Linked DNA regions of Drosophila melanogaster. The gene in region 3 interacts genetically with the main gene of each other region. Each region holds a gene or a part of one and is shown on either strand. Other genes may lie near its edges. The genes, in order: Fmr1, Vang, dco and per.

What was found.
Region 1: of dco (region 3) and Fmr1, changing one suppresses a phenotype caused by changing the other (phenotypic suppression), as found in Drosophila melanogaster (one study listed by BioGRID).
Region 2: of dco (region 3) and Vang, changing one enhances a phenotype caused by changing the other (phenotypic enhancement), as found in Drosophila melanogaster (one study listed by BioGRID).
Region 4: of dco (region 3) and per, changing one suppresses a phenotype caused by changing the other (phenotypic suppression), as found in Drosophila melanogaster (3 studies listed by BioGRID).

Annotation. Positions count from the first base shown.
Region 1 is NT_033777.3:10,106,090-10,111,816, reverse strand, and holds the start of Fmr1 (fragile X messenger ribonucleoprotein 1), read left to right. Parts: upstream 1-1,695; 5' UTR 1,696-2,001; intron 2,002-2,208; exon of another isoform or gene 2,209-2,293; intron 2,294-2,593; exon of another isoform or gene 2,594-2,745; 5' UTR 2,746-2,841; intron 2,842-2,905; 5' UTR 2,906-2,927; coding exon 2,928-3,122; intron 3,123-3,474; exon of another isoform or gene 3,475-3,587; intron 3,588-4,337; coding exon 4,338-4,387; intron 4,388-5,703; coding exon 5,704-5,727. UniProt on the Drosophila melanogaster protein: Polyribosome-associated RNA-binding protein that plays a role in neuronal development and synaptic plasticity through the regulation of protein synthesis of mRNAs.
Region 2 is NT_033778.4:9,101,079-9,107,821, reverse strand, and holds Vang (Van gogh), read right to left. Parts: upstream 4,585-6,743; 5' UTR 4,247-4,584; coding exon 4,006-4,246; intron 3,939-4,005; coding exon 2,434-3,938; coding exon of another isoform or gene 2,353-2,433; 3' UTR 1,026-2,352; downstream 1-1,025. Other genes in the region: Pgm2a (phosphoglucomutase 2a), read left to right, coding at 1-424; CG8777 (uncharacterized protein), read right to left, coding at 4,703-4,865, 4,925-5,112, 5,172-5,346, 5,407-5,838, 5,897-6,685.
Region 3 is NT_033777.3:31,054,179-31,062,931, reverse strand, and holds the start of dco (discs overgrown), read left to right. Parts: upstream 1-1,721; 5' UTR 1,722-1,855; exon of another isoform or gene 1,856-2,467; 5' UTR 2,468-2,557; intron 2,558-4,289; exon of another isoform or gene 4,290-4,304; 5' UTR 4,305-4,392; intron 4,393-5,003; 5' UTR 5,004-5,080; coding exon 5,081-6,403; 3' UTR 6,404-8,753. UniProt on the Drosophila melanogaster protein: Serine/threonine-protein kinase which is involved in the circadian rhythm pathway, viability and planar cell polarity.
Region 4 is NC_004354.4:2,682,823-2,691,822, reverse strand, and holds the start of per (period), read right to left. Parts: upstream 6,244-9,000; 5' UTR 5,923-6,243; intron 3,627-5,922; 5' UTR 3,579-3,626; coding exon 3,484-3,578; intron 3,424-3,483; coding exon 2,384-3,423; intron 2,320-2,383; coding exon 1,963-2,319; intron 1,901-1,962; coding exon 186-1,900; intron 116-185; coding exon 1-115. Other genes in the region: CG2652 (uncharacterized protein), read left to right, coding at 8,999-9,000. UniProt on the Drosophila melanogaster protein: Essential for biological clock functions. Determines the period length of circadian and ultradian rhythms; an increase in PER dosage leads to shortened circadian rhythms and a decrease leads to lengthened circadian rhythms.

The DNA.
Region 1 (5,727 bases), about 21 Mb from region 3:
GACTAAACTTATTGAATTTTATTTCTATTAATATTCACACTTATGCGCGAATTCTTTATGTTACTATAATTACAAATGCAGTGAACACCTTTTATAAGGAATGTATTATCTTATTTATTATTGAAAAATTTACTTGCCCGAATATTCCTCGCAGTGTATTTTACGTCGAGAGGAAGTGACGTACCTGTCACGATCGAGATTGTCACATTTTGGCAAATAAATTTCACTTGATCCCTCCACGCGGTTAAAATTAGAATTTAAATTAATTTAGTGCCCGAAGTGACCAATTGTTGCACTGCAATTGCACCCGAACCGAATCGTTTCAAATCCGATCGCGAAACGAACATAATGCTAATTGAGCGGGACAAATTCTGGGGTGCGAGCGAGATGGCTAGATGCGAGAGGAGGAGGGGCTGTCGTCGCTGAACTTTCGCTCTTTTGTTGGCCATGTCGACGTCATTAAAGTGCAGTTAATGTGCCAAAAGGTAGAACAAAAGTCAATGTCAAACGGCAGCTGCTCTCATTTTCCTCGGCAGTGGAAAAGCGGTTGAAATAGGGGTGGTTAACTGGTGGGCAAGGGCGCGGGAAAATCAAATCAGAAACTGCATTTCCGCAACAAATCGCCGCTTGACAGTAATTACCGTCAACACGAGCGGTAATTTATGACTATCGAATTGCGAATCTTGATACCCTGTATGGAAAATTGTTATGGGATTTTAACGGAATCTGCCTGCAAATAGGCTGGGAAATGCGAAAATGGCGAGTAGAGGGTATTGCCTTTGCACAGAGACACAGAATTTCCAACTATTCACAGGCATATAAAGGATTTAATGGTTCCCATTAACTGACTGGCCATGAATTTTTATAATTTGTTGGCCCATTTTCACCACACAAATGCCTAAATGGCATGCGATTTAAATACAGGCGAGCTTTTAGACTTGCCCACTTATTAATCAAGAGTAAAGTTCACAAATATAATTCATAAATCTTATTAAGTAGTTCCAAGCAAATATGTGGTTTCATCCTAAATGGAGTACTCCGTCAGATTTCTGCTGTCCGATCCGCTGAAAATTGATGGAAATTGGATTACAAATAGACCGCACTGCACCTTTATCGGCCACTCATAATCAAATGCGTTTCATGAATGGAAGGGCAAAATAAGAAAAAAAAAATAGTAAAAAGCAAATTCAACAAGCGTGTTGACAAAAAGCGCCAGCGACGTCACGCGATTTGGGGGCAATCAAAGGGGCAAATAAAACACCGCATGTGGCAAATTGCGCCCACTGTTGACCCCAGCAGTCGTTGCAATTACATAGACAATTACATTAACATTAAGGCGTAGTGGTCAGCAGTTCTGCAAATTAAAATCGAATCGAATCAATTGAAAAGCCACCAAACATGCGAATCAATCTGCTGATGGGCTAGCAATTCAATTACGTTGTTAGCAGACAGCAAACTAAGTGAGCAGTCAATAGTGTTCGGTTCGTCGACTTCATTTAAATTTTAAATGATCTTATCAGCTTTTTGAATTTCGAATCGTAACCGCCTAGCGCGCTTAAAATACAACCCTGTTTATTGTGAACCCACAACTTATAGTCACTCTGGCAAGGCCCGGTGAGCTGTCACTTAGCAGCCTTGCCACTTTACTGTCAGATCATTTTTCTCTCGCTTTCAAACAAGCCCTGTGTTATAGAGCACAAATCATTTATCAAAAATTTCGTATCTTATTTTCACAAATTTATCGCTTGGGCCAAACACGCCCGAAATCTAGCCAAAACCATCCGAAGTGGCCAGTAACGCGCGCCGATTGTAAACGGGTGGCAACTCCAGTAGAACGTTGCCGAGCTGCGAAAGTGTGCAAAAGCAAAACGAAGAGAACGCAGCGCAGCCGAAAAAAATTGAAGCAGCACTGCACGCGATATATTTTGTATTTTCAAAGGTTAAAGCCGCATTCACAGGCATCCGCCGAGGGCAAACGAAGTGCAAAAGTGCCGGCCAGCAGTAAGTTTTCAAAAATTTGCAGTCTCTTGTGTATTACAGCCGCAAAAAGTGTTGAAAAAATTTTGCAAGAACCGAAAAAAACCAAAAAATTTTGCACATCGTCGGCGGCTGCGACGTCGACGACAGCAGCGACGCCGCCTCTCTGCCGGCAGCGGCAGCAAAAGGGAGCAGCTGAAAGAGGAAAACCGATAAAATACAAAAAGAAAAGTAGAGAACGAGAACGAGAAAAACGGCGAGCGGCTACGCAACGCTGATGTTTCTTCTCTTTGAGAAAAGCGAAAATCGAAAGCAAGTGTGGAAATTATGTGTAAATTCGATATGTAAATTCGGCATGTGCCGTTCGTAGTGTGCGTACAAATTCTTATTGGAAAAGCGTGTTCATCGGTGTGAACGAACGAACGAAGCATTTCGGCGGCGAGAGAGAGAGAAAAAGAGAGCGAGAGCGCACACGCTTGGTGGTGGTCATGTGTGTGTGAGGCGGCGGGCTCACACACACAAAGGGAGAGAGACAAAGAAGAAGAGGAAGCACTGCGCTGCTGCGCTGCCGGCAAAGCCGACGTCGCTGCCGGCTTCGCCGCCAGCTGCATTTAGTGTTTAGCTAGGAATTATCTGGCCCCCAAAATAACTTCAAAATTTTCTTCAACTATTTTTTTTATTAGTGTGTCAATATATAGTCTCCCTCTCCAGATACAAAAATTCAAAAATACCAAAAACAAAACCATTCCATATTATTATTGATTACAGGCAACATTTGAAGCAGCAGCCGCCAAGCAAAAGACTGATTTGAGTACAAGGAACTAGAAGCAGGAACGCGAGGTTTCTGCCACTGCACACTGAATTGTGAGCATACCCACCCATACCTAGCTATATCTATAGCCCTAATATCTCCATTCTTCCCCCTCAGGAGCCCCAGATAACGCGGCAAACTGCAGTCGACGGGGAAAAGTCGGGAGTTGAAGGCTGGGCAGCATCAGCATCAGCAGCAGGAGGGACAGGGACGGACGGCGAAGAACCACCAGAACCAGAACCAAAACAAAGCGGATAAACCAGGAGGCACTACGTCTGGCGATATGGAAGATCTCCTCGTGGAAGTTCGGCTCGACAATGGCGCCTACTACAAGGTGAGTTGATTCAATTGGTGGAATAAAAATGTTGGTAAGGGGGTGACAAAAAAAAAGAAGGAAAAACAGAGGAGCAAGGAGTTGGGGCAGCAGCTGCCTCAGTTTCTAATTTCGTGGATTTTAGCTTTATTTCTATTAATAAACAGCAACATTTTGAGTGGAGTCTCGACATCATCGCCACCACCACCACCACTACCACTACCACTACTACACTAATACCAGCACCATCGCCAATCTGCATACACCAACGCACTCACGCACACTGCGTTGTGGGGGTGCCGACGTCGACGTCGATGTCGATGTCGACGCGGACCGCGCCGCCCACTGCGCTGCCCACTGACGTCGTCGTGCATTCGGTTTTGTTGTTTTGATGATTTCCCTTTCTTGTCGTTGCAATTTATAAAGATAAGATCCGATTAAACCATCTTATATCGCGGTTAAGTGATTTTCGCGGATAGATTACAGGTATACGAGGTTGTTAGATCTCGAATCATTAGTCTTATGAACGAAGTTCAGTCTTAAATCCCATTCATAATGCTAGCTTTTGATGTGTTTTATTGTTCACTGTTTAAACAAATTCAGCAAAAATGTATGCTTATAGGCTTAAATTTTCCAATGATAATATAGACATTTTGGAAACCAGATAACAGTGCACTTAAGAATATTCTTATACTTTCAATTATTGTTCTTAGTACTTATCCCCATCATTAGCTAACCTATTCTGGAAACCTTCTGGATATGTATAGTAAGGTAGTGAATACTTTGCATAGCGTTGCCTTTGATTTCAGTGCTTGGAATCAAAACAAGGGCAATGCACATAAACACACTCGACTAGAGCGACTTCCCTGATGCTGATGATTCAGCTGTCGGCTGTTTGCATTTCGGATAAGGTTCTACGACTACTCGCTTATCGGAGATATACGGTTTCCCTCGCTAATGCCATTGCAATTCTCGATTTCACAATGGGACGGGATTGGGGGGACTATCGTAAAAATATATTTTATATACTTATGCATATACACACATCCGAATGGAGGTATATCATAGGCAATGGCCACATTAATGACACACATTTTTCTCTCTCTACTCCTATGCCTTCCGATGCTGGCCCTGTCAATGCTCTTGTATTTCATCCGTTTGCTGCCTGCCTGCCGCCAACAAAAAACTACAACTGCAAACTAAAAACTACGACGACGACGACAACAACAACAACAGGGCCAGGTGACAGCTGTCGCCGATGATGGCATCTTTGTGGATGTGGACGGGTAAGTTTGTTTAAACAAACAAATCTGCGAACAGGGCAAACAACAACAACTAGAGCGTATTTTCTAACTAATTTGCAACGATTAATACAATCAGAGCTGCAGCAGGAGCAGCAACAACCACCGACGCGACTTCTTGGCATCCGAATTAGAAATTAGAGATTCTGGGCACGCATCATTTGTGTCGTCCGCCATCCGCCAAACCACTTCCCGCCGAATCCCCTACTGCGGACTCACTAATTTGGCGCAATTTGTTAAACGCCAGACGCCGCTGCAGCAGTTTCTGTTGCTATTAGTTGATAAAAAAGAAAAAAAAAATGAGCCAAATCAAATAAAACTGCTGACTGACAGACTGACCAACGCCATCCGCAACTGTCCGCCCCACTGACTTGGGAAGTTCCCCGATTCCCCTCGATTCCCAGAGGCAATCTTCCCAAGAAGCGGGAGCAGGGGATGGCTTCCATCTCTGCCAAAGCTGTCAAGTGCGAACGACAAATGCCACTAAGCAGCGGCGCTGAAACGGCGGCCAGCGTCAAAGGCGCGACTATTTTTAACCGCGGAAAGAAACCATTTATAATTACTCATTTTGAATTCGGTTATGACGCTCTAGCCGAACGTCTTGTAACTAAAATGTACCTTATTTTCATAAATTTTCATAATTTACCGAGTATCTGAAATGAGAACTTTGATTTATTCACGTAGCATAACAATTTGGTGTCTTAAAGTTTAAATTTAGTTCTTATTGTCTATTTTTAAAATACCTAAAGTTACTCTGAAATGCTCTGCAACACCATAGTTTGATCCAAAAATTAATTAATATATTTCTATGAGTTTTTATAGAAAAATCAAAAGAGAACACAACGGTCATTAAGCGTTTTTTAATTGCTGCCGTTTTATGTCCGTGTTTTGTTTCTGTTTTGTGTGCTTGCTGCATTTCTTGTGACGTTTTTGGATCAAAACTTTTTTTTTTGTTGCCTTCCATCTCTTCTGACACACCGAAATCCACTTGAGCTGAGCAGCTGGATCTAAATTTAGTTGCGCCACTATCCTGTCGGACGGTGTGTCGTTTCCGATCTGCGTTTCTGGGCGGGATTAGGAATGGGTTTTTGCCAATGGGAGCATGGGTATGGACGTGGGTTCACTGTGAAAACCCCCACATTGGTTGTTGCTGTTGCTAGTTGGCTGTTGGCACACTGCCAGCGGAGCAGCTGTCGCCAGAGAATATGCAAACACCTGTCCGCAGACCTTTATGCTAAGAATAAATAACAAGTGCAGCATGATTAATTAATTATACCTCATTCGCACACGCATTGTTGCAGCGTGCCCGAGAGTATGAAATATCC
Region 2 (6,743 bases), on a different chromosome or scaffold from region 3:
GACTGTCAGCTCCTATGTCATATGCCGTTGCCCGCCGGTCATCGAGCAGATCTTTGAGCGCTTGCGCACCTGGGACGAGGGCAAGGCAGACACCTATCCGACCAGCATCCTTAACGGCGAGTACGAGATTGAAAACGTTCGCGATTTAACCACGGGATTCGACAGTAGCACTGGCGACAAGAAGGCCACCTTGCCGACCAGCTCCAGTTCCCAAATGATCACATTTACCTTCAAAAACGGACTCGTGGTCACTCTACGCACCAGCGGCACGGAGCCCAAGATGAAGTACTACGCCGAAATGTGTGGCAAGCCGGACGAGAAAAACTGGGCCAAGCTGACTAATACAATGAATACCATGGTGGAGGCCATTGTCGAGGAATTCTACGAGCCAAGCAAGAACGGCCTCCAGCGCAGGAAGGAATAATCCGAATGCACCTTTAAGCGGATACGCTAGGCGACTGGGACGAAAGATCTAACACGTAGACCTGTCTAAAATTGAAAGTTCTATACCAACAGCACTGACGACGCACAAGCCAAAAAACAACAGCAGCGCAAGCTGTTGCCTATTATTGTTTAAAGGATATCTGATATGTTAGTATTCCACTCACATTTGGCTAGTATTTATGAAATAATGTAAATAAAAGCGAACGCACCATCCACCACCAGGCACCAAATCATGGGTTTCCTCAGTTTGATATTTAAGTAGCTTATGAAATGAGACCATCGTGCTCACTCCACTTGAATTAATTGAGCTTATTACTCTTATCATAGAAATTCGAGAGGCATTCGAGTCTTTGTATCACAAAGAACTTGAAACTTGATTGATTGCGATTAAATCTACTCATACATTATACTTCAGTGCGATTTGGTAAACCTGCTGGGCTCAATAATCAATATAGGAACTGTTTGTTAATCCCGAGCTGATAAGGCAACTTTCAGACATTCAAAAGACCCCCAAGAATGAATTAATTACGTGCGCATTTCCACGATTTGCGTCACCTTCGAGATAGAACAATTCGTTTAAAGCTGTTAAAGAAGTGGGTTTGATTTATTTACGCATTTTGTTTTTTATGCTAGTTACAATTACAACAGTTACAGTTTGAGAGTAAATGTATGTATAAATGGTATGTATGCTTAGGTTGGTTTTCCAATTGCTTTAAGTAATTGCTAGATAATTGCAATATAAAAGAGCTTCGACAGAAGACATTTAGCTAGAAAACGAAAATGAAATCAAACCTCAAGCAAACGTTTCTAAGTAGTTTTGTAAATAGGTATATATCATATATGTATGTATATATAGATTGGGTTCACTGGAACGTACACATGTTCGAATACGAATTCGGGTCCTTATCACTATAATTTTGTCTCTAAAAATACACGAGTTTTTGTATATATGTGGTTGCTATGCACAGGCTAGTACATACACCTGCTAGTGGCTGTTGGCAATTTGTGTGTATAAAATGCATATTCAGGCAGTCTTCGCTTATATTATGTATTTGTCATCAGTTGCATTCGAGTTATAGTTGTTTCGTCGTTTCTCAACTTTGTGGCAGAAGAGTTAGGACCATTCGGTTTCGGCTTAAAATGTGCGTATGTAAAATCTTATTAAGTCGCGTCAAAAGTGGCCAATGCACTTTCGACGCAAGTCCGAGTCCTAGCTAAAATTCCATGGGCTTGCCTTGGCTCACTCCATTCCTTCTTAAGGCTAGCGATCGGGCTCACGCCTCACAGATATCGGGTAAAATTTTAGATATTCCGCGAAGAGTAAGCCCAACTTTACACTAAACATATTTACTAAAATAAAAATCGTGTATAAAAGAGCTGCATTTAAGAGTTGATATCTGAAGATCGCGGTTCGGCAAGCCAAACCATCATTCTTATAATTAATACTTTGGGAACTTGTAAGTCATGTTTGCTTATCAAAGGGTGTGATATGTTCGCGTCGGTTTAGGATGATACACTGGGCTTTTGAGCATTGTTTCTTGATATTCGGGTCATAAGTTCAAGTTTAGCACTGATAAGTACGTTGCCTTCTCATCTAATAATCATTTGTTACAAGATCAAAATTTAGCTGCTGAGGCCTGCCTAGACATTTTGTTCTCACAACAACTTTTCCTTTCTAAACTTCCATGTTTTTTTCTTTTTTTTTTTAAATTCAGGGTTTTGATCGATTTAAAAATGCTCCTCTTGTTCATTGATAAGTAATTTTGATTGCTTGGTTTGATTGGTTGTGGTGTTTCAGGCATATATAAAAATGAATTCAATTACCCTGATGGCAGTTCTCACAAGAACGTCATCGATTTGGCTGAAGTAAAGAAAATATGTGAATATGTGAATTAGTAGCTGGGAAAATCAGACAAACACATGCAAGTAGGACGATTGCGTCTGGTTGCTATGAGTGGGAGTGTTGATTGGAGGGGCGTTGTGGTGGTGTCATACGGATGTTTCGGAGTTCAACTTAAGAACAAATTTGTTGCTTTTGGGATCCACAACCTCCTCGGCCAGGTTGAAGTGCGGCAGCTTGTGTACGGTTACCATTAGGGAGACATCGTTCTGAATTAACTGGAACGTGCATTCGTTGCCAATTGGCCGAGAGACGATCTCGTCGCAGATCAGGGACCAAGACTGCACCCAGCGTCGCTCCTTCTCGCTCTGCATCACCGGAGACTCGGTCAAGTAGGGTTCCAAGAAGGCGCGGGGCGACAGATCATGCTTTAGGCAGTGCGCCAGATGTTTCAGTATGCTCTCAAAGGTATGCCGCGGCTGCTGACGCGTAACCCGTAAGTATTTTTGCAGCGCCCTGGCCATCGAGGGAAAAACCGCCGAGGCAGCCTCCTGCGGATCGAGCGGCAGTGCCGGAGCCGGTTCGTTATGAATGCGTTTGATGTGGGTGAAGGCCTCCTCGGCGGCGGTTATAAGACGGGCACGCCGTTTCTTCACACGACGTTCGTACTCGTGCTCTTCGTAAAAGCGCTCGTTATGCGAGGAGTCTCGGCGCCGCGCGTTGGCTGCTAGAACTGCTCGACTCTGGCTTTGCTGTTGCGAATTGCTCACCCCATCCACTTCGTAGTACTTGAAACTGTTTGATATCTTGTTTCGCTGCGATTTGGAGACCGATATTGGGATGCGCTCCAGGTAAGGGTTAAATATGGGGAAATCCACGTAGTAGTGCTGTAGCACCCACACAGCCGCCCGTTGGATGCTCAGCTGACCCAACATGTAGGAGCGCGAAACGCCGTCCGGGGAGCGAATGATCTTGATGTAGTAGCAAGGCTGCTGGTGTCGCAGCTCTAGTAACACCACGGCCACATAGTGAATAAATAGAAGAGTGTCCACAAAATTGGTGGCATAGCCTACCAGTGACTTGTAGTCCACGGCATCGCCGCCCGTCTCCACAACGATTTTGGCCCCGTTTGTGACCTGCACGATGTAGAAGAGCCAGTAAGCAAACGTGCAGATGGTGACGAGAAGGAGGACGAGAGCGCGATATAGGAATATCCGTGGCATGGTGGCCGATGTACGTCGCATGAACACTGCCCACAGGCCGATGGCCAGAAGCAGCAGCCGGGCGGCCAGCGATACCAGTTGGCCCTTGCACTGCTCACTGCAGGCCAGCAGCTGGGTGCGAACAGTTTGCGTTATTTCCGGATGATCGAAGGCCGACGGAAAGAAGCCCACATACGGCATCACCACCATTGCCACTGGCGAAAAAAACGCTCCGCATCCCAGCAGGAAGTAGAAGCTCGACTCCACGTATCGGCGGCACGCAAAGCTGAAGCCCTTGTCGCTCTCACGATGCCACATGTTGTTTATGTCCTCCATTGAGATGCTTTGCTCCGAGGTATTCCCCGTGACGGCGGTAGTATTCTCGCCCCAGTTCTCGTCCTGCGGAAGGATTTGCACCTCGATGACTTCCTGGCCATCGTGGCTGCCGTCTCCTGGTGCCCAAATAATAAATGGGTCAATTGGTTTCCTTCCACCGATAGAGCCATTAAACAAACTCACCTGTCATATTAACGCTGGTCTGGTACGGTGCCATGTCGCCACGTTGAAATCCCTTGGCCGACTTCGAGGAGTGTGTGCTGCGGTGGGAATGTCTGGAGCGGTCCCGCTCCCTGTGATAGCCGTTGTTGACACTGCCTCCTCCGCCACCACCTCCGCCGCCACCCCCTCCGCCGTTGTTGTTGTGATTCCGCGAGCGTCTGGAGCGTCCACTGTGTTCCGACTTGACGGATTCGTTTTCCATTGCAATTGGGCTAGCGCGCGAGAGCTATGCCCGATTCCGAATCTCCTGCTCGCGAAGAGACGTGCCCCAAATCACCTTGCAACCTGGCCGTGCAGCTATTTTAGTGTCTAACTGTAATTGCGGCGGCAGCAGGTTTTTCATACGCAGGTATGCAGGGCGCAGTGCATAGCCTATAGGCGATTTAGAGCTTTATCTGCGGCTAATTCTGCGGCACATTGTCACTATTCGTGTCTTGCATGGCTATTTCATACGCTATTTAACTATTTCTCGCACATTTTTCGCTTTTTATTCACTTTTTCGTGGACTTGGCTTCACCCCCGACGCAGTGTGACCACCGCAACACAATCAGCAGCACGGTCACATTGCATTTAGTGTTTTCAAACACTATCAGTTTGGCAATTCAACCGCCAAACTGATAGTTTAAATTTTAAAGTAAGTTTATTTTGTTGGACAATATCATGAATTTGCAATAATAGCGGAAAGTAATTGTCTGGCTCTCTGGTCAGTTGGGCTTAGCAGTATGGCGCGCTGCAACAACTTCATAGAACAGGTTTTGTCTACTGCACTAACCGCCTGACTGGCATATATAGTGGTCAGTGCCTCTTCGCTGGCCAAGATGCTAAATATAAACAAATTCAGTCTATCATAATACAATGTATATAAATTCCCAAGTCTTACCTATTTTGTTGCTTAGTGTGTCCCAGAGTAAGAGTTATTCGACCCATATTTGAAGTAGCCAGTCGATAGGATTGGTCATCAGAGAAATAATCAAGAAGAAACTTTAGCACGACACTTCGCAGACTTCGGGAATTGGGAAACATTCGTATGCGAGTCTGTAGATAGCACAACGCTCTTCGGGCACCCTCCTAAACAAAATCATAGTATTACTTTTGTAGAACCACAACATTCACCACTTTTAACGAACATTTATCAGGATGTAGTGAGCCGTTAAATAGGATATGTCGGCACAATACTCCTTCTTAAAGGCGTACGCATTCAGCTCCGTCAGTATCGTATGGATCAACGCATTATCTCTATGAAGTATACCTAGGGCAAGGGCTGAAAACAACGCCTGAATGGGGACCTCCTTCAACAAGACACTTTTGGTGATTATAACGTTAGAAATGTTGAATCAACAAAACAAATATTGCGCTACCAACCACTGATAGAGTAGGGTTTTGGTGTCCGCTTCGCCCTGAAAGTCGTAAATCATGGATGCCATAGCCACGAGGATGGTAGCTGCTTTGTCATCGCCATGATCAACCACGTTGCCGAGAACGGAGTTGTAAATAGAGTAGGATTCCTGCAACTGACCGGCTAGATAATATGCCTGGGCCAGGCCAATGATCGGCTTAAATGTGGCATGTGCAACCGTGTTTAGGGCGTGTGCCGCCTGCTCCGGCTGGTCTATTTTTAAGTACAGGTATCCCAGATTCGTGTAGAGCTTGTCACGATCCGCTCCAGGTTCGCACAACTTACACGCCCGAGTGAAGGCTTCGATTGCTTGGCGATACAGGTTTTTCCGGGCGTAGAGAAATCCCTGGAACGACAGCGATGCTGGTGTCGCATCCGTCTCCTCGTTTTGCACATACCTTAAATGTATTGCAAGTCTTTAGTTGGTTTTAGATAGGGCATTACTATAATACTTACCAATTGATGGCATCCAGCGCAAGCACATCAGCGTACATGTGTTCGATGGCATGCTTTATGCGCGGCTTGTCGAAAGATCCAGGAGTCGACAGCATTTCGCACACCCAATGCGCAAATCCAAGCGCCGCCTCCGGATGGTAATCGAACTGCTGGCAGTGACGAAACAGATCAAAGGCTTCCTCGCGATCGCCAATCAACTCCGCAACCATTGCTTGTCCAATCCAAGCGTTGGCGTACACGGGACTTGATTGCTGGGCTCTCGTAAAGGCCTCGTTGGCCAATCGGACTTCATTCAGTTTAATATAGAGAACTCCGAGATTGGTCCACGCTGTGTAGCACTTTTTTTCCAGCACTACAGCCTGAATAAAACAGTGCTGTGCCAATGGCAAGTTCTCATTTTCGGAGTTCATATTGATAACTCCGAGAAGATTCCAATTTTGCCATCTGTTGCTACACTCCTTAATGGCCATTTTGCACGCCTTAGTCGCCGTCTCTAAGTGGCCGTTTGCATCCTCGGGTATGAGAATGGCACTGTAGTAGCTGGCTAACGATAGCTCGTACCACAGGTACGTATTCTGCTTCAGTTTTAAGGCGCACAAGTAGAAGCGCTGAGCTAGCTGTAGAAGATCCTTGCGTGAAAGATATGCAATGGGTTCTTCGCGCTTGGCTAGGTTTCCAGCCACATCCAAGTTGGCCAACGAATGCGGCAACTGGGCTGTCTGAACGAAAATGTTAGCTGAGAGGCGCCATAGCCAAACCATTCCTTGAGCTTCACGCTGAAGGAAGGCGCTGTAAGGAATGGATAAAACTTATCAACAGATACACGAAATCGCTGGCTGAGCTAATA
Region 3 (8,753 bases):
AAAAGGGCACTGCAAAAAAATGAGTGATTAAAGTTTTTCAAATATTATTCAAAACCAGTACCAGAGGCAGCTAAGTCTGTCGTCTGATTCGTATTTTTATTTAAAGAATAATATCAAAAACAAGTTTATATTGCGTGTTAAAAAAAAATACAACAAAATTAGGAAATAAATTGTCTTAGTATCCCAATAATGTGGCATACTTTTTTACAGTGTTCTTTGAATGGATCATTTACATACACGCGTCTCGCTCGGTTTTTATTGCTTCGCACCTACATATTTGGTTTACTTTTTTCGTTATTTATTTGTTGGTAGTTGACCATCGGTCGAAATAACGACGATTTTCATTCGTCGGCGATCGCACGTCTTTGCGTGTGTGAGTGGGAAAGATATGCTTTGAATTAGTGTGTGTGTGTGAGCGGTTAAACGAGTTGTTTTCTCGTTTTACTTGTTGTATCTTCAATTGCCTCGTTGGATTGCTTTGTTTTCTCTTTTTCCCAGCCAATGGGAGACAAAGGCGGGTTTTTACGAAGATCTTGAACGATTCACCAATAAATTGAAAATGGAGATTTCTATAGTTGCATAAAAAAAATGCATTCTGGCTAATGTATATAAATACAGCAATGGAAAATTAAAATCGTAGGCAAGTGCAATTAATGTGATTTATTTTGTCTATATTTCATTTTAAATTGCCAGCCCCAATATCGAATCGTTACACTCTTTTCACCCCTTTTTTTGTTATCATTTTCGAGTGATTGCTTATCTACCCTACCCCCACTTAAAAAGAAACACACCTTGGCACATACTCCCAAAAAAAAAAAAACACATTTTCTCATATATGCATACATAACTGGATCTGCTTCCTTTTTTTATGTCATCGTTTCTTGGGTTACACAGCCGGAAAATGCACGATGTGAGGGTAAATGGGGAAAGCGGTTGGGCGGACTAATGGAATTCACACGTGTTTTGCTTTATTCGTATTGCTGCAATAAAAGTATACGTTTCAGGTATTTCGATACATCTGTGTAACATCAAAATTGGCATGCTACCTATAACTGCAAGACATGCCAATGAAATCCATTTTCAATTTCTATTTACACGAGAATTTGGAGCACAAGCCTGTAAAAAGAGTTAACAACTTTTCTTAAGAACATTGCAAATTAAGACATAAATTTTATTTACATATTATTGAGTTATCAAATTTGTATATTAGTATAAATATCATTTCAGAATGATTTTTTTTTTTTTGTATTGTTTATTGTATTCTCTTTGAAAATAAAATTAAGCAGATGGGCCTTTGAATGCATAATTCAAAAACTTTCAATAACTTTAGATATTTTCAATTGCATTTCTGAAATAAGGCGCCACCTTTTGTTTCGGGCGCCACCTGGATACCACTTTCGCCAACTCATCCGCTAGGTGGCGCAGCTCAAAAATATTTTTCGTCCATCTGGCAGCACTGGGTCTATGTAAGAACTAGTGTGCCCATATAACAAAAACAGCGTTGTCAACTTGGCTATTTCACAGCTTTCCAGTTACTCGAACTTTGAACTTATGGCTAGCTGCAAGGATATAATTTCGTTTTTCTTTTGATTTTCCAATACTCTTGCGCTATTTTCTTAATGTGGTACTTCGAAACCAACTTTGGACTATCTTAACTTAGTATATGAATCACAGTTTTTCACAATTACATATCTTCTAGACATTCGCTGAGGAGTAAATACCAGATGGTAATTTTCTTCATTATCGGCGCGGTCACACTGCGAATATCAAGATGGCGTAAATTTGTAAAAAATCGTCGAAATCTATGTGAAATAGCCAGAAAAATTGAAACGAAAGCGCAGCGTTGATGCAAAACGTAAGTGGTCAGTAGCGTTTCGGATCGACAGACCCGTTTGCGAGCGAAAAAGCGGCGGTTACCACGCGCAGGAAAACTCGAATTTCCCAACAGCATTTCAGTGCTCATTGAGAGTGCGAGTGTGTGAGTGAGTGCCCTCGTCTTTGTGTTGGTGTGAAAATGCTGAAGCAGGAGGGATAGCAACGTGCTCGCGGTAGAAACCGTGCGAGTGCGGGCGGGACGACTAGTGTGCACGAATCTATTGCCAGGGCAAACGACTCGCATAAGTTTGGTTTTTTTAATAAGAGTCCGAGTTCCGTTTGGTTTCGTTTAATTTTCTCGAGTTGATTGGCAACAAGATGCTAATCAATGTGGCCATAAAATCAGAGAAGAACAGCATAACCGACTCGAAGATAAACGATAAAAATAACTGAAATATGGCAGCAATGCAGTATTATTAAAATTATTGCATAAAATGCGCTTGCGTGTGGCCCCAAAAAGTGCGACTGTGTGCGTGTGTTTGTGTGCGACTGTGGCAACTACAACAAAAACAACGTCTGGGCTCTAAAACAAAGAAAATGAAAATTATTGTGGCAGAATCAATCCAATTAAAAAATTCGATTTCGATTTCAGTCGAATTAGAAGAAGGAAAAGCAGCGTCGCCAGCAGAGGAAGTGGGCAAAGCGGAATAGGAAACAAGGAATATAAGAAAAACAAGCCACGGTAAGTGCGGAATTTGTTCCACTGTGCGTTCAAGTTTCCCTTCTCCACCCGCTATCGGCTGCTCCTTATCAGCCCCGTTATTCGCAGTGCATTCGTGGAGTGCCGTTAGTTTTCGGAGGCCATTAGCGTTTGACAATTAATTGCAAGTTTCCTTCCCCTTCTGAGGTTTCCCCGTTGGTTTTGCTCTGGTTTTTGGTTTTTCCATTTGCTCTTCCCTGTTTACTTAAGCTTTTTACTTTTGTGGCGCCTGCTGGAACAACTGTTTTTTGTATCTTCTTTGTTCTCCAGTGCGTTTTTTTGCGGAAGCTTTTCGGCAGCCGCCAACGCAACGTGCAGCTGTTTTGCAATTGTAATCAATTCGTGTTTACCCGCTGGTCCGAAACAACTGCTGGATACCCTGGGAAATATTTAGTTACCAATAGGAAAGACCGCGTTTTCCCTGCTAGCCTTCCAGTAAACAAATTAAAGCTCCTAAAATTAATACCACATTTCAATTTGACTTACAGTGCTTATACAGTGATTTCTTTCTGTGTAGAACATGGGAGATACAAATAAAAAACGGTACATTTCGGTTAAATAAATCAAAGCCAAGGCGAAAACAACAACAAACACAGGCAGGTTTTGAGGTTAGAACCGCAGAGTGAGTGATAAAGAGTCGGGAAAAGGAGGAGAGAGAGAGAGAGAGAAAGAGAGAGAGCGATCGAAATGCGTGAGCGGTAAAAGAAAGCGCACAGAATGTGGGAAAGAGGAGTGGGAAGGGGTTAGTGAGTGAGAGCCGCCGAAAACAATTAAACTAAATTTTTGTGATATTTGACCGGCAAGTGAAAACTTTCGGCTTGTTGCTTCGTTTTCTGACTTCCATGCGCTTTATCTTCGCTATTTGTTTGTGCTTTCCACCACTGAAAGTGTCATTTAAGTGGCATTTTCACAGTCGCTGCGTTTTATTTTACTTCTCTCCCTTTTGTCGCCGATTGTTTACTCCACGCATACACAAACACACGTCTCTTTTATCTATTTGTTGTTAATCTCTTCGTTGTCTTTTCCTGATTGCTGATTCACCTCCATGTTTCTGGTGTCGTCACGTAAAAAATACACTTGAAAAAAAGAATTATATCTATTCAAGGATGTAAAAGCACTACGGCACATTTGCTTTATTTTATAATAGTACAATATAATATTAAAATGACTAAAACAATAATGTGACGAATGTCAAAAAGTAGTGCTATTTTGCTCTGTGCATATAAATTATCGTTACTCATCACTTATTAAATCTGTTGTTTTCCCCATTCGTAATCAATACACACAGCCGAATGCAATGACGCACTCACTCTTAAATATAAATATACGAGATAAACTTTTACTTTGTGCGAGGTTCGGGTTCTTATCATTTTTGCCCACTGTGCATTTGCATTTCGAATTGCTTTTGGTACGCTTTTCTCTGCTATTTTTGTGTTGTCAACGTAAGCCAAGCTTACTTCTCTCCCGCTCTCTCTCTCTTGTTTTATTCTTAGCTAACGGTTTTCTATTTTCGATATCGATTGTTGCCGTGCGTTGTTTTCATGTCTGTGTGCCACAATCCTTATCACCACAAACAAAAGCGAATTCTGCACGTTTTTCGGGCTTACGCTGCAGATGCGATAAAAACAGGGGATTACTCTCTATATATAAGTGATCGCGAGACGGGTCGAATTTCGATTAACCATGTTGAGGATCTAAAAAAAAATTAACTTAGTACCTCCTATTACAGAACCCTTCGAATACAAAGCCATAAGCGACTGCCTTGAACAAATCGGAACAAGAAGAAGAAAGGAGCTCAGACGAAAGGACAGTGCCAGGTGAGAAAAGTGGAGAAGTGTTGGAAAATACTCACGAAGCTCCGTTAGCTCTCAAAATTAGACTTTTAGCAAACTGTACAAAACAGCAGGGTTGTCATCACGTGTCACAATATAGTGTCAGAAGAATCAAAAGTTGTAGCAAACAAAATCCGACGAATATTTTATCACTATCGCTAACAAGGCGTTCGATATTGTGTTGTTGCTTGCAAATAATCTCTTCTAATAATATCACACATTGTTGCTAGTGGTCAATAGCCGAATTTTCGAAGTCACTTGATTCATATTTACTCGTAAAAACCTGTGACGCCGCTGCTATTTCTATGATTAGTCAAAGCAACTAAGAATACTACGAATATTTACATTCTGATCGAATTCAACAATTTGCCTGCATCGTAGCAACCTTTCAATATCCTTTCGCGATTACAAAGTAAAAGTTTTAGTCCTTGGCGTAGATATTTAAATCTGTATAATATTTTAAGCGCAGCTAATCTGAACTGGGATCGATCAATTCGTGTAGCGTGTAGTATTATGAGTAAGAAAAGCGTACAGCCTTCTTTTCGAGGCAATGTGTTGTAAAATTAAAACTAAATTTCAATTCTCCGGTCCCGCAGAAAGGCAACGCAAATCCGAGGAACCCGAGGAGTCCGAACTCTACCACACAGAAACCCACAGAAACAGACGTAACAAAATGGAGCTGCGCGTGGGTAACAAATATCGCCTGGGCCGCAAGATAGGATCGGGATCGTTCGGCGACATCTACCTGGGCACCACGATCAACACTGGCGAGGAGGTGGCCATCAAGCTGGAGTGCATCCGCACCAAACACCCCCAGCTGCACATCGAGTCAAAGTTCTACAAGACGATGCAGGGTGGCATAGGCATACCCCGCATAATCTGGTGCGGCAGCGAGGGCGACTACAATGTGATGGTGATGGAGCTACTCGGACCCTCGCTGGAGGACCTCTTCAACTTTTGTTCACGCCGCTTTTCGTTGAAGACGGTTCTGCTGCTGGCGGACCAGATGATCTCCCGCATCGATTACATACACTCGCGGGACTTCATCCATCGCGACATCAAGCCGGATAACTTCCTCATGGGTCTTGGCAAAAAGGGCAACCTGGTGTACATCATTGACTTTGGCCTGGCCAAGAAATTCCGCGATGCCCGGTCGCTGAAGCACATTCCCTATCGGGAAAACAAGAACCTCACGGGCACTGCCCGCTATGCCTCCATCAACACACATTTGGGCATTGAGCAATCGCGTCGTGACGACCTGGAGTCCCTGGGCTACGTCCTAATGTACTTCAATCTGGGCGCCTTGCCCTGGCAGGGCTTAAAGGCAGCCAACAAGAGGCAAAAGTACGAGAGGATCTCGGAGAAGAAGCTGTCCACCTCGATTGTGGTGCTGTGCAAGGGCTTCCCCAGCGAGTTCGTCAACTATCTGAACTTCTGTCGCCAGATGCATTTCGACCAGCGTCCCGATTACTGCCACCTGCGCAAACTCTTCCGCAACTTGTTCCACCGTTTGGGCTTCACTTACGACTATGTGTTTGACTGGAACCTGCTTAAGTTTGGCGGACCTCGCAATCCCCAGGCGATTCAGCAGGCGCAGGACGGAGCGGACGGCCAGGCGGGTCATGATGCGGTGGCCGCAGCAGCGGCGGTGGCAGCAGCGGCAGCCGCCTCCTCGCATCAACAACAGCAGCACAAGGTCAATGCGGCGCTGGGTGGCGGAGGAGGCAGTGCAGCGCAACAGCAACTCCAGGGCGGCCAAACGCTGGCGATGCTGGGCGGCAATGGAGGCGGTAACGGCAGCCAACTGATCGGCGGCAACGGACTCAACATGGACGACTCGATGGCGGCCACCAACTCGTCGAGACCGCCGTACGACACGCCGGAGCGTCGGCCTTCGATACGGATGCGGCAGGGAGGCGGTGGTGGCGGCGGTGGAGTGGGCGTAGGCGGTATGCCGAGCGGCGGAGGGGGCGGTGGCGTGGGGAACGCCAAATAATATTTTATCGTTTAGGTTGCGACGCTGGACACGACACAGTAGACAAACAACAACAGAACTCAACAAACTATACATGTAGTATATATAGTTATATATACCTAATATATATAATACTTGCTTTATATATGCGGTAAAACACGTTGAATGTATCCAAGCGGCAGGATGACCAGGTCCCTGCCAGAAACGGAGGACAAGAGCAGTGAGAGAAGAAGAGCAGAGCATAGCAAAGCGCAGCGCTTTTCTTTTTTTGTGTGTACATTTTCGTTTGTTTTTTGACATTTTGGTTTCTGCTCCCAGATGTTAGAACGTTGAGCGCGCTTATTATTAATTAACTAGCCTATGATTAATTTAATTTATACTATTAGAACATAAACGATTGCAACCTGGCTGCAAGAAACTGCAACAAACCGCACTGTTCAATTGATTTGAGATCCCTGCCTGAAGATTGGCCAATAGATCGGCGGTTGATTAGGGGTCCGCGGAAGGGTTTGGGAGGAGGGTTAGCAGGACACGCAGGCATTTAATTCTGTTTTGCATTTGACTATTTGCTCTTGGCCGGCTCAACTTTTTCTTTGTTAACTTGAAGTCCCAGACCAAATCAGGCAGAACATGCAGAACCGATCATGAACACATAATAACTCGATTGTAAGTGTAATATTTGTGTAAAAGAAACAAAGGACACCGCGTTCAGCGAGTGTCCCTAACCCTAGACTATAGGCTCTAGCTCTAGCGAATCCAATCCATACAAAAGCATATGCCACACAGCAAGGCACCCACATTGTAACCTAAGTTGATGGTAAAATGATTGCGATTACCACGTGCAGTTCTCTAGCTTTAAGCAACGCTCTGACTTATAAGGCCCTCCTATGTTATATTATGTAACCTTCTGTACCGCCTACTCCCCTATCTATATATATATATTTATATATATATATATATATATATATATATATATATATATATATATATATATATATATATATATATACTTTCGTGGTCTGCACTTTGCTGCCTGTGTTCATATATATCTTTCCGATTTTTAAACACTTAAGCGCGCATTTCCCGAGCGGTGGGCAAATGGGATGCGAGATGTGGGAGCTGGGAGTTGGGGCAGCCCTTTGTTTACGCAACAAAATCATGTAACTAAGATAGAGAGCATATAAATTGCGTTAGACATACACAACAAAACAATTGCATTAACGTTTCGATTTAACAATGTAAGTAATGGCCCTGCGGAGGAAAGTTACACAACGCTAGCTAATAAACTATAGCTATAATATGAAATTTGTTTATAAGTAATACCAAACCGTAAAATAAAAAAGGAAAATGCAAAAAAAAAACTTAAATTCTAAATGCGCCAAGAGATAATGAATGGGTAAAAATATGAATATACATTAATATAAACTATATCTTATGAGAACACGTAAACATGTAAACCCCACAGCGATCGGCTGGCTAAGAACTAACAAATCAAAGAAATGCAAAACACAAATCGGATCACTGAACGCAGAAGCCACTAAAACTTAAATAAAAGTACATTACGTGATATTTCTTACAAATTGTTTTGTTTTCTAATCGGTTTGTTTCAGTCATTTTACTTTTATTTTTCGAACACAACTCCATTCGAAGCGCACGCCTTGCAAACGACCAACCTTGTAAACACGACCATATAGCGCATTCAGATTAGGGGATCCGCGACCGTGGAGAAGCCCCAATCCTCCTCCCCAAACCGAGAATTGAGAACCTAGTGATGAGTGTACATAAGAATAATATCCGAACCCCAAAAGTATAAAATTAAAATATATACATATGTGTGATTTTCCTCCTAGCATACAGAGTACTAAACCTAAACCATTAGCATTTTATTGATAGAAAAGAAACGAAATCGAAGCCCGACAAACTGATTCATAGCGATTATGAGCCACTAGAAATGGAGAACTAAATGATCTTGTATGAGCGAGCAGTCCATTCAGCATAAGCGAAATAGAGAAACTAACAAATTGAGAACATAGTAATTTCGAAGGTTTTGTATAATTAACTGTATATGTATATTGAGAATAGAATTTTGAACTAATAACTAATTATACTAATTGGATCGAGTTCGAGTGTATCATGGGCGATATGAGAGAAAATCATTAAAAATAAACCACCAGTGATATGGAATACAAAATAACCACAAACGAAATCGAAATCGAAATCGAAGCGGTTCATGAAACATTTCAAAAGTACGTTGGATCGGAATTCGACGGATGTATCGATAAGTGCACGATAAGGCCACATTTATGTAATTAGCAAGTATTTCGAATTAAACCGAACATGGAATATGTATGTGTGAACAGAATAAAAGCAG
Region 4 (9,000 bases), on a different chromosome or scaffold from region 3:
AGCCCGGCTCCGTCTTGACGGATGCGCTCTGCGAGGAGGGACGCTGCACCTGGGCAGGAGTGGTGACCGAGTGGAATGCACCCGGCACCTTCTTCGTCATGGACGCCGGCGTGGTCTATGGACGAGTATGGAGTTGGAGTTGGAGTTAAGACAGTTCGGTGAGGCACCACCGGCCACTGACTTACCGTGTACACCGACTTGTTGTACGCGGATTGGGAGCCCAACGGACGTTCGGGAATCTGGAGAGCGTTGGCCATTCCCGGAAAGGGCATCGGCTGGTACATCATGGCCGTGGCCGCGGCCGCCGCCGGGTGTGTGTAGAAAAGCGAAGGATGCGGGTACATCACGCCGGCCATGTACTGCAGCGGCATGGCCTGGGCGGCCGCGGCAGCCGCCTGCTGCGAGGTGGTGGGCATGTCCGTGCCACCCTTGTGCGGATGCTTGTGCATCCGGGGAGAGCGCGTGGGACTGGTGGGCGTCAAGGAGGCGGGGATGTAGTAGAAGGTCGGGAAGAGGCCGGCGGAGGAGAAGCTGCTCTGGGCCATGGCCGTGTGCGTGGAGTGAACGGGCGGTGTGATGCCCACCGAGAACGGTGGCCAGAGGTTTATGTTTTGCGTGCAGGTGGGATAGGACGAGGGTCCTGGCGTGGAACTGCCCACGGAGGAGGACGCTCCAGCCGCTGCTGCCGCTCCTGCTCCGCCTCCGCCTCCGGCTCCACCTGGTGTCCCCGTTCCCGAGGTCGTTGTGGCTCTGCCTTCTGGTGTGCCTGCTACGCCTGTTCCGGATCCTCCTCCGCCCGCCACACCGGCTCCTCCTGATCCCACACCGCCAGTGCCGACTGCTCCGCCCGCACTTCCTGCCGCTCCCTTGATCGCATCTGTTCCCAGGGTTAGCTGCTGCTTGGGCTTGTTGGCCTCTCCCTCCCAGGAATGGGAGCCTCCTCTTTTTATCCCGTGGCCTGGACCGCTGTACTCCAGCATCTTAAGGGTGTCATTGGCGGACTTCTTGCTCTTCTCACCCGTCCGTCCGCGCGACTCGCGGTGCTTCTTCAGCATGAACTTCTCCATCTCGTCGTTGTGCTTATTGAGCAGGGATTCGGTCAGCGTGACTGGCGGTATGGCGGCGCTTCCGCCTTTGGATGAGCTGGCGGTGCCGGTTCCGGTGCCGGAATTTGTTCCATTGCCTGTTCCAGTGCCTGTGCCTGTGCCTGTACCTGTTCCCGTTCCAGTTCCTGTCCCGGTTCCAGTTCCTGTCCCGGTTCCAGTTCCAGTTCCAGTACCTGTACCTGTACCAGTGCCCGTGCCACCAGTGCCGGCAATGCTCGTATTTGTCACACTGCTCATGTGTATGTTACTGGCGGTGGTGAAGTTGCCCGAGGAGCCACTGCCCCCGCTGCCCTCGTGGACGGGACTCATCGGACCACTGGCGCCACTGACACACGTGCCGCGCGGCTCCGGCGGCTCCGTTTTGGGCGGATCGAGCTCCGCCGGCGCCGTGACCGGCTTGCTGTTGAAAAAACGCAGCAGGTTCTCGTTATAGTTTAGCTGGTTGTAGCTGGGCGGCGTCTCGGTGGAACTCTTACTGTCATAGTAGTCGTGGTGCGGCGAAATCTCGCCGAGCATCACGCTGTCCCGCTCCGAGACGGTCAACTCGTTCTCGTGCGGCAGCTCCAGCTTGAGATCCGCCCGGGACACCTCGTCCATGAGCGTTTCCATGAAGCTGGCCAGCGCCTGGCAGCGGCGGGAAACCTCCTGCTTGACCGTGTCCGACGGACGGGACACCGTCTCCGCCAGGCGCTTCACGATATCCTCCTTGATTCGCGTGTTCCGGCTCTGTGCCTCCTCCGATATCTTCAGCTTACATGTGGGCGCCGCCTCGAAGACGTTGCACTGCTTGGGTCCTGGAAGGTGAAATGACCTGTTTAGAGGATCATTGGATCACTGGGTCGGCACGCGAACTCACCCTGAAAGACGCGATGGTGTCCGACGACAAATTCCAGCTTGCGGGACCATGGATTGACGAAGCTGGTCCATTCGGTCTCCAGAAGGACGTAGCAACCGTTCTGGATGAGGAAGCGGTATGGCTTGCTGCAGAAGGAGGCGCCCGCCGTCTGACCCTTCTTCATTACCGTCTCGTAGGTCTCCTTCATGACTGAGAGGTCCTCGTGGTGGTAGAAGTCCATGATGCTGCGGCCAATCAGGTCCTGCGGCAGATAGCCCAGTGCACTGACCGCCGCGCTGTCCACGTGCGATATGATCCCGGTGGCCGTGTGGCGTATGGCGAACTTGGGGCTCTTCTGTGAGAGAATCTCGTCGGGAACTGGGGGGGGCAGAGATCGATGGTTAGATGGCTGGATGAAACCAAAACGGGCACAGATACTCACCCTTGTAGCTGCTCTTGATCGGAGTGGCGCAGATGACGAGCAGCATGTTGGTGCCATTGGAGACCATGTAGTTGTCCGGTCGCGCCTCCTCCGGAGCCTCCCTGAAGGTGAGCCCCAGGCGGAAGGGTTCGTAGCTGACGGGCCTGCCGATGACGCCGAATCCGCCGGACTTGAGTCCCCGGTAGCGACGCAGCATCACGCAGAAGGTGCTCTTGGCGTCCTTGGGCACGCTGCCCCTGGATTCCGCAATGGGTATGCCCGTGGTGATCTGACTGGCGAAGGTGGCGCGGTCCTTAAGGTGCACAAAATCGATGAAGGACCTGCCCAGCCACATGTCGCGCGGGTAGCCCAGGACATCGGTGATGCTGGGCGTCGTGTACAGGACGATGCCGTCGTGCATGGAGATGACGCAGCAGAAGCTGTCCTCCTTCACCCGCTCCCCGCGCTGCCCTGTGCCCGCCGCCGCTGCGCCCACCCCGGTCATGGACTCCAGCTTGCCCGGACCTGCCTCCCAGGTCTTGTCGAACTTGGCCAGCCCGCTGTCCAGACCGGCTGCGTGGCCCACTCCGCCGCAGCCGCCCATCGAGGGCGGGACAATGGTGACGGATAGCGGCGAGGGAATCGGAAAGCTCTGTGCCGCCTCCGACTTGGCCACGCCCTCGACTCGGTCCGCCTCCGACTCGGAGCCGGACTGATCCTCCTCCTCCTCCTGCTGCAGCTGCTCTATGGCCTGCGGCTCGCTGTGATCCTCGCCGTGCTGTTGATCCTGCAGCTCTCGGCAGATCTGCTGTTCTACGCACCCAGTGCCGCTGGGCCGCGGCTTCTCCTCGTCCCTGCCCTCTAGGCTCGTCGACGCCGAGATCAGGGTCTGCGCCTGCCCCGCCCCCTGGCCGGCGCCCTTGTTCTTCTTCTTCTTGCGCGACTTATCCTTGTTGCGCTTGATGATCATGTCGCTGCTGCTGGCCTGCGTCGAGGGCTTGCCCCCATAGCCACTGCTGCCGGAGGAGTGGCTGCCGCTCAGGCGGGATTTGGAGCTGCCACTGGAAAGGGGATGGATCGTTTAGACTACTCGCATGATTGAGCACATCAAATGGACTCACCTGCGCTGCGACTGGCTGTTGCTGCAGCTGTTCGAGTAGGCCGAGTCGGACACCTTGGTGTTGTGTGTGGACTCCGTGGACTCGCCGCCCTCCATGGTGCTTAGGTTCTCCAGCTTGCCCAGTTGGTTGACTAGTGCGAGATTCTGGAAAATCGTATGATGACCATTAGCACTTCAGTTATCCTTGATAGGACCTTGAATGGGGGTAACTAAATAACTAACTAACTGATTTCACTTCTATGATGAACCTATGTATCTATGTTTGTCCTTCCTTCGAGGAGATTCCGTGACTACTGAGTATCCGTTGAATGAATGACCAACCACTACAATGCGGATTCTATTTGCACCGGATTCATTCAGAGCAGCGCTGTTGCATCAACGTGAGTCGATTGCGTTGTGAGTAGTTTCACTTCGGCCGGGTGATGAAATGAATCACGAAATCTGTTGCGGCACCGGGCTGCGACGCGCAAACCCCCCCGATTCTCTAGAATCCAATTCAAATTCCGAATGTTGCTTCGTTACCGTCTTCACGTTGCTCGCCAATAGTATTGTGCCGCCCAGCTAACCACCAACGCTTTCTAGGATCTTCTAGGCCAAGCGAATGGATGATGGGGGGGAAACCAGGCGTTGCACGTGTTCCGACTGCCTGCCATTCATGTTCATGAATCATGGCTTGGATAACTTCTAGTCCTAATTGGCTGGAGCATTGTTGTGAAATTGTCACCTTGACTTGCACCTGCATGGTGGCCATTGATTGAATCGTATACTCTCTGCCCGGCCCAGACTCAGAACGATAGATAGAGAACAATGTCGCCCACACGGTGGTTGCCTGCAACGAGGCTTCACTGTGCTAATTAACAGCGCAGCGGGAGCGAGAGCGAGACGGCGCGACGCTGCATTCACGTGCAGTGCGATGTGCTTTTGCTCTCGCGTTGCCTCTGCCGCTCCGCCAACGGATGTCGTTATGCAGTCGCAATGCATCCCGGCTCCAGATTCGCAGATACGTACTTAGATACTTAGATACGTGTAGTGTGTAGTTCAGAACCATGTACCCTGTACCTCAGTAGAAGACACATTCTTTTCAGCAATTTTGCAATTACAAAAAAAGAACGCAGCGAAGAACTCATATTTCTCACAATGCACCACTATGTCGTAATCGGTGCATATAGCAAGCATTCAATTCGGCAAGGAGTTCGGTTTCAGCGATTGCATAAGACCCAGGTTCATTCTCTCCGATTTGGCTGAATCAACTAAACCCAAAAATACTACACAGACACACAGGCATTAGGGTGGACCCCATTCCAGGCTCTTCAGAGTTTCCATTAAAAGCAAAGATAACCAAATGGGCCAAGTAAACAAGCTGATAGTTGTTTCGACGGCCCAGAATTCAAGAAGAAAGAATTCCAAAGAAGGTGAAAAATTCCATTGGATAATACCATTTTTTTGCCCAACAAACTGGCTTCCAACCGACTGCTCAATCTGCCCAAATCCTTCAGTTTATACCCACCAAGGATTGTGTAACTCGCTGGTTAACCCAGTTCGCATCCCATATGTGGGTGAACTTTGACGCAGCAAAGCAAGAAGGCCAACTGGTCGAATCGAATCCGCCGCGATGCCTCTGGATTGCTGGATTACATTGGTCGTGCGTCATTCCGAGGATGTTAGATAATGCAGCACAGGAAGCGCGACAGACATGGATAACAGTCGCATAACCCGGGGGCAAGACATACTGGGAAAGACTGTGGGAAAATTCGGGGCACGAATGGGAACGTTGAGCTATTAATGGTGGTACTCTGTTTAGCTTGTGTAACGCGACTGCGACTGCGGCTATCCAAATCGTAGGGGTTTTAATAGACATTCCAAATTTGCCAGAAATTACTGCGCCCACGTGGCGTGTGTGCAGCAAATAAGCTGAAAATACCAAGGTGCAATGCCCAAAAGGGAACACGCTGCGTATGCGCAATATGCTCTGACCCAGATTGGATGCCGGGCATCGATTAGAGCTATGTAGCTACATATATGAATGAGTTCACTTCACGTAGGCGCAGTGTGCTGCAGTACTGCACTCCAGGTGACCGGAAGGCAAGCGGCTGCAGTGGTGCACCACGTTGCGTATGCGTATTCTGCGGCCAGAGTATGTTTGTTTGGCACTGCAAGGAAGGAAGTGGTGGGGCATTCCCGGAGCATTGTTCGGTAGGGTCAGGTATTTTGATGTGGGCTTTTGTTTACGCTTTGCTCGGTGTGCAACGTGCACTTATTAATAAACACTATATGTACATATGTGTAAGTGCGCCATTGGACGTTATGAACCGAGTTATTTATGTAAGCTGCCTGCCCAATGCGTTGTTTTGTATTGGCAATATGATAATGGTCTATCTAGCGCCTCTTGCTGAGATTTTTCTTTGCAGCTTTATTGCAACAACGTGACAATTGCACTTACACACTCGCTCTCGCTCTCACCCAGCTGCACTTTTTTGCGATTAGGCTGCGATTAGGCTGCTGCTGCCTTCTGTTTGGAATCTCACTTATGGTCTCACTTTTTGGCTGTGGCTATATGTCACTCAGCTCGATACACTTGACACTAACACTGGCACCAAAGAATAACGGTTTGTTTCTGGTCGAAATTAAAAAAAAAAAAACGAAGCTGTTTGTTTGCGTGATTCGACAGGTCGTTGTTGCGATTTATTTGGTATATGGCAATACTTTCTACTGTGCGACGAACGCGTTGTCGACCTTCTGGCTCTAAATTCGCACGAACACTAGTGCTCGCATCGCAAGCTCCGGTGTATAAGCCCCCGTGCACTCGCATTCCCAGAATTTTCTCACACTCACTCGCTGCTCTCCGCCGTCGCTGAGAATCGCTGGGAATCGCAGTCGCTCGGGAAATCGCTGGTCGGCTGAGATACTCGGACCCAAACATTAACCCTTGGGCGAAGCTTTTGCGCGAACAACAAAAGCAAGTAATTGGAATGCCAAAGACTCCCTTTTCCATAGCAAGAAACCCCATTTATAGATTGCTATAATGTTGGATATCTTTCTTTTTCATAGCTTCTATTGAATACTAGTTTCTTTTGGTTTTTATCTATGCTGTGGGATACGTTACATGGCACTGCCGATGCCAAGTGTCAATCCAAGCCCCACGCACCAACTGCAGGTTAAGGAAAGCTATGGAATCCCCTGCCTTTTTGGGGCTGCCTGGTGGGCGGCTGGCAGCACGTTTTCCGAGGGGTGTTTTCCGGGGAGCCGGCTGGGCGGCGGATTTGCTGGCCAAGTCACGCAGTTCGCCACGTGAGCGGCGGCTTTTCACTGCCTACGGCTTTCTCGGACGCTTTTTGCACTCGGACCCGTCCCTGCCCCACCATGAATTGTGCGAACTCGCACTGGCACTGGCATTTCGCAACGGCATTACTCACCCACCCACCTGGTCATCGTCCAAGTGCGGCCAGCAGTGCACCAGAGCGCCAGTCCGCAGTCAACGCAGTGCATCGGTCTAGCAGCTCGGCTCTCTAGCACGGATGAAAAGTTGAAAGTGGCGCCAAGCTTTTGGGGGCTTCTGTTTCCCGTTTGTCCCGTGGAAGCTCTACCTGGGCAGGTGTGCGCGGCGTGCGCTGAAACACGTACGGAGTGGGATGATAGCGACAGCTGATTTTCCCTGGCTTTTCCGCCTCCGCCCAGCTGGCTGTTGCGCGCTGTGGCCCACAGGTGGCGTTACACATACCTGCCAGCAGGGGATTCCCCGTCTTTCCACGAGGGGTTGATGAACTCCGAGCGGTCGAGTGGTTCGGTTCGATGCTGATACTACTGCTATGCAGTTACAAATGATTATTACTTGCAATTTCTGTGCATTGAATTTGGCTTTTAGTCTTCGCAATTGAAGGGTTAAAAGTTGAGGCATCTGATAAATAGGAAATGATTTTAGCTACCCCCTCATAAAAGCATATTTTTATGGACCCCACAACTTCTTTTTTTTTCGGAGCATTTTTTATTATCCTAATCCGATCGAAGTGCCCAAGGATGTCTTTATGCCTTATCAGCCGTCCCATCGGCCTGCGGTGGCTTTGAATAATTGAATTCTATTAATTGGCGGCTTTGCCGACGTCGAGTGGGTGTGAAAATCCATTTGACCCGGCACCCACTCCACACGCAGCTCCTTTGTGGCCACGTGTGTGGTGTTTGCCCAAGCTAGCCGGAGTTTGCTGGCATTTGCTGGGGCTCGCTCTTATCTATCGCGGCCACACACGTGCCACAAAGTCACAGACGCCTGCCCGAAAATGATAAAGTGCGTTCGAATTAGCCACCAAACTGCTGCTAATTTGATTTTGATGCTGCGACTGTTGACTTGCCGCACTTCGCCACTCCCCGTCGCGTTTTGATGTGCTGTGATTTCATTTGATTGCCGCTAATCGGATTCCGGGTGGTGATTTCGGGTGAGTGTCGGTCGGACTGTGAGCGGGATTAGAGCCGAGTTCCCAAGGCCCACCCTTTCAACGTCCAAGTGGCGTAGGTCCGAGGACCTGTGGACCCATGAATATGGATTGCGATTAGAGGATGGACGTAGCACATCAGGTGGCATTACTGGCACCACAATTCCGTCCCAGCGTTGAACTGTAAGCACAAACGGAGATACAAGCTCAAGTGAAATTACTTCAGCACTTGACTACTTTCTGATGAGATAGATGTCTGTAAAAAAATTATATCAATGTAATGAACAGTTTAAATTAATATCAGAAATATAGTGTCATATTCTCCAAACTAGGTTTCCTTGGGAAGTCTCGTTTAGAGCTGCTCGGTTGGCAACTTATGAAGGAATATAACAGATACGGGGCTCAGATCAGGTGGACTTGAAGCAGACCTTTAAACGAAGTCCTTGGCCTTGGAGCACCTACAGATTGCACTGAATGGTCTCGCTATCCTCAAAATGTCCACATTAGAATTCAGCTGCCCCGCTGAACTGAAGTAACGTCGCTGTGCCCGGAATATTCCCGGCCAAGTAAATGCCCGGGCCGCACCAACCCCAAATTCCTCTGACTTAGCACTTAACTCCGCCCTTCGGAGTCTGCGCATTGCGTACTCCCAAGTCCGCTAACTCTTCCCTAGTCCACCAACAAATTCTGCGTTAATTAATTAGAAAAAATCACAGTTTAAGGCGTGAAAAAATCGGAGATGGCCCGTTGTAGGACGACGAAGGCGTTGAAATTTCAACGCCTTTCGCGAAACTTTTGAAGAACCTTAATCCCAAGTTGGGATTAACATCTGCTTCGAGGGGGAAAACAAGGTAGCAGACATGCAACGGTTATTAGGTAGTATGATAAAATCTATAAAAAATTATATGTACATTAGTTATTACTTTAGTTAAATGCATATCTAGTGGGCTTCTGTTTTTGCTGTCGCTCTCGATTTGAAAAAGCATCACACCAAGCAAACAAGTTAAAGTTGCCTTCAAATTTTCGTAGAAAAATTTTTAGTTAAACATAAATTGAAATTAGTTTTTTTTTTTTTTTTTTTTTTGAATCGTGAT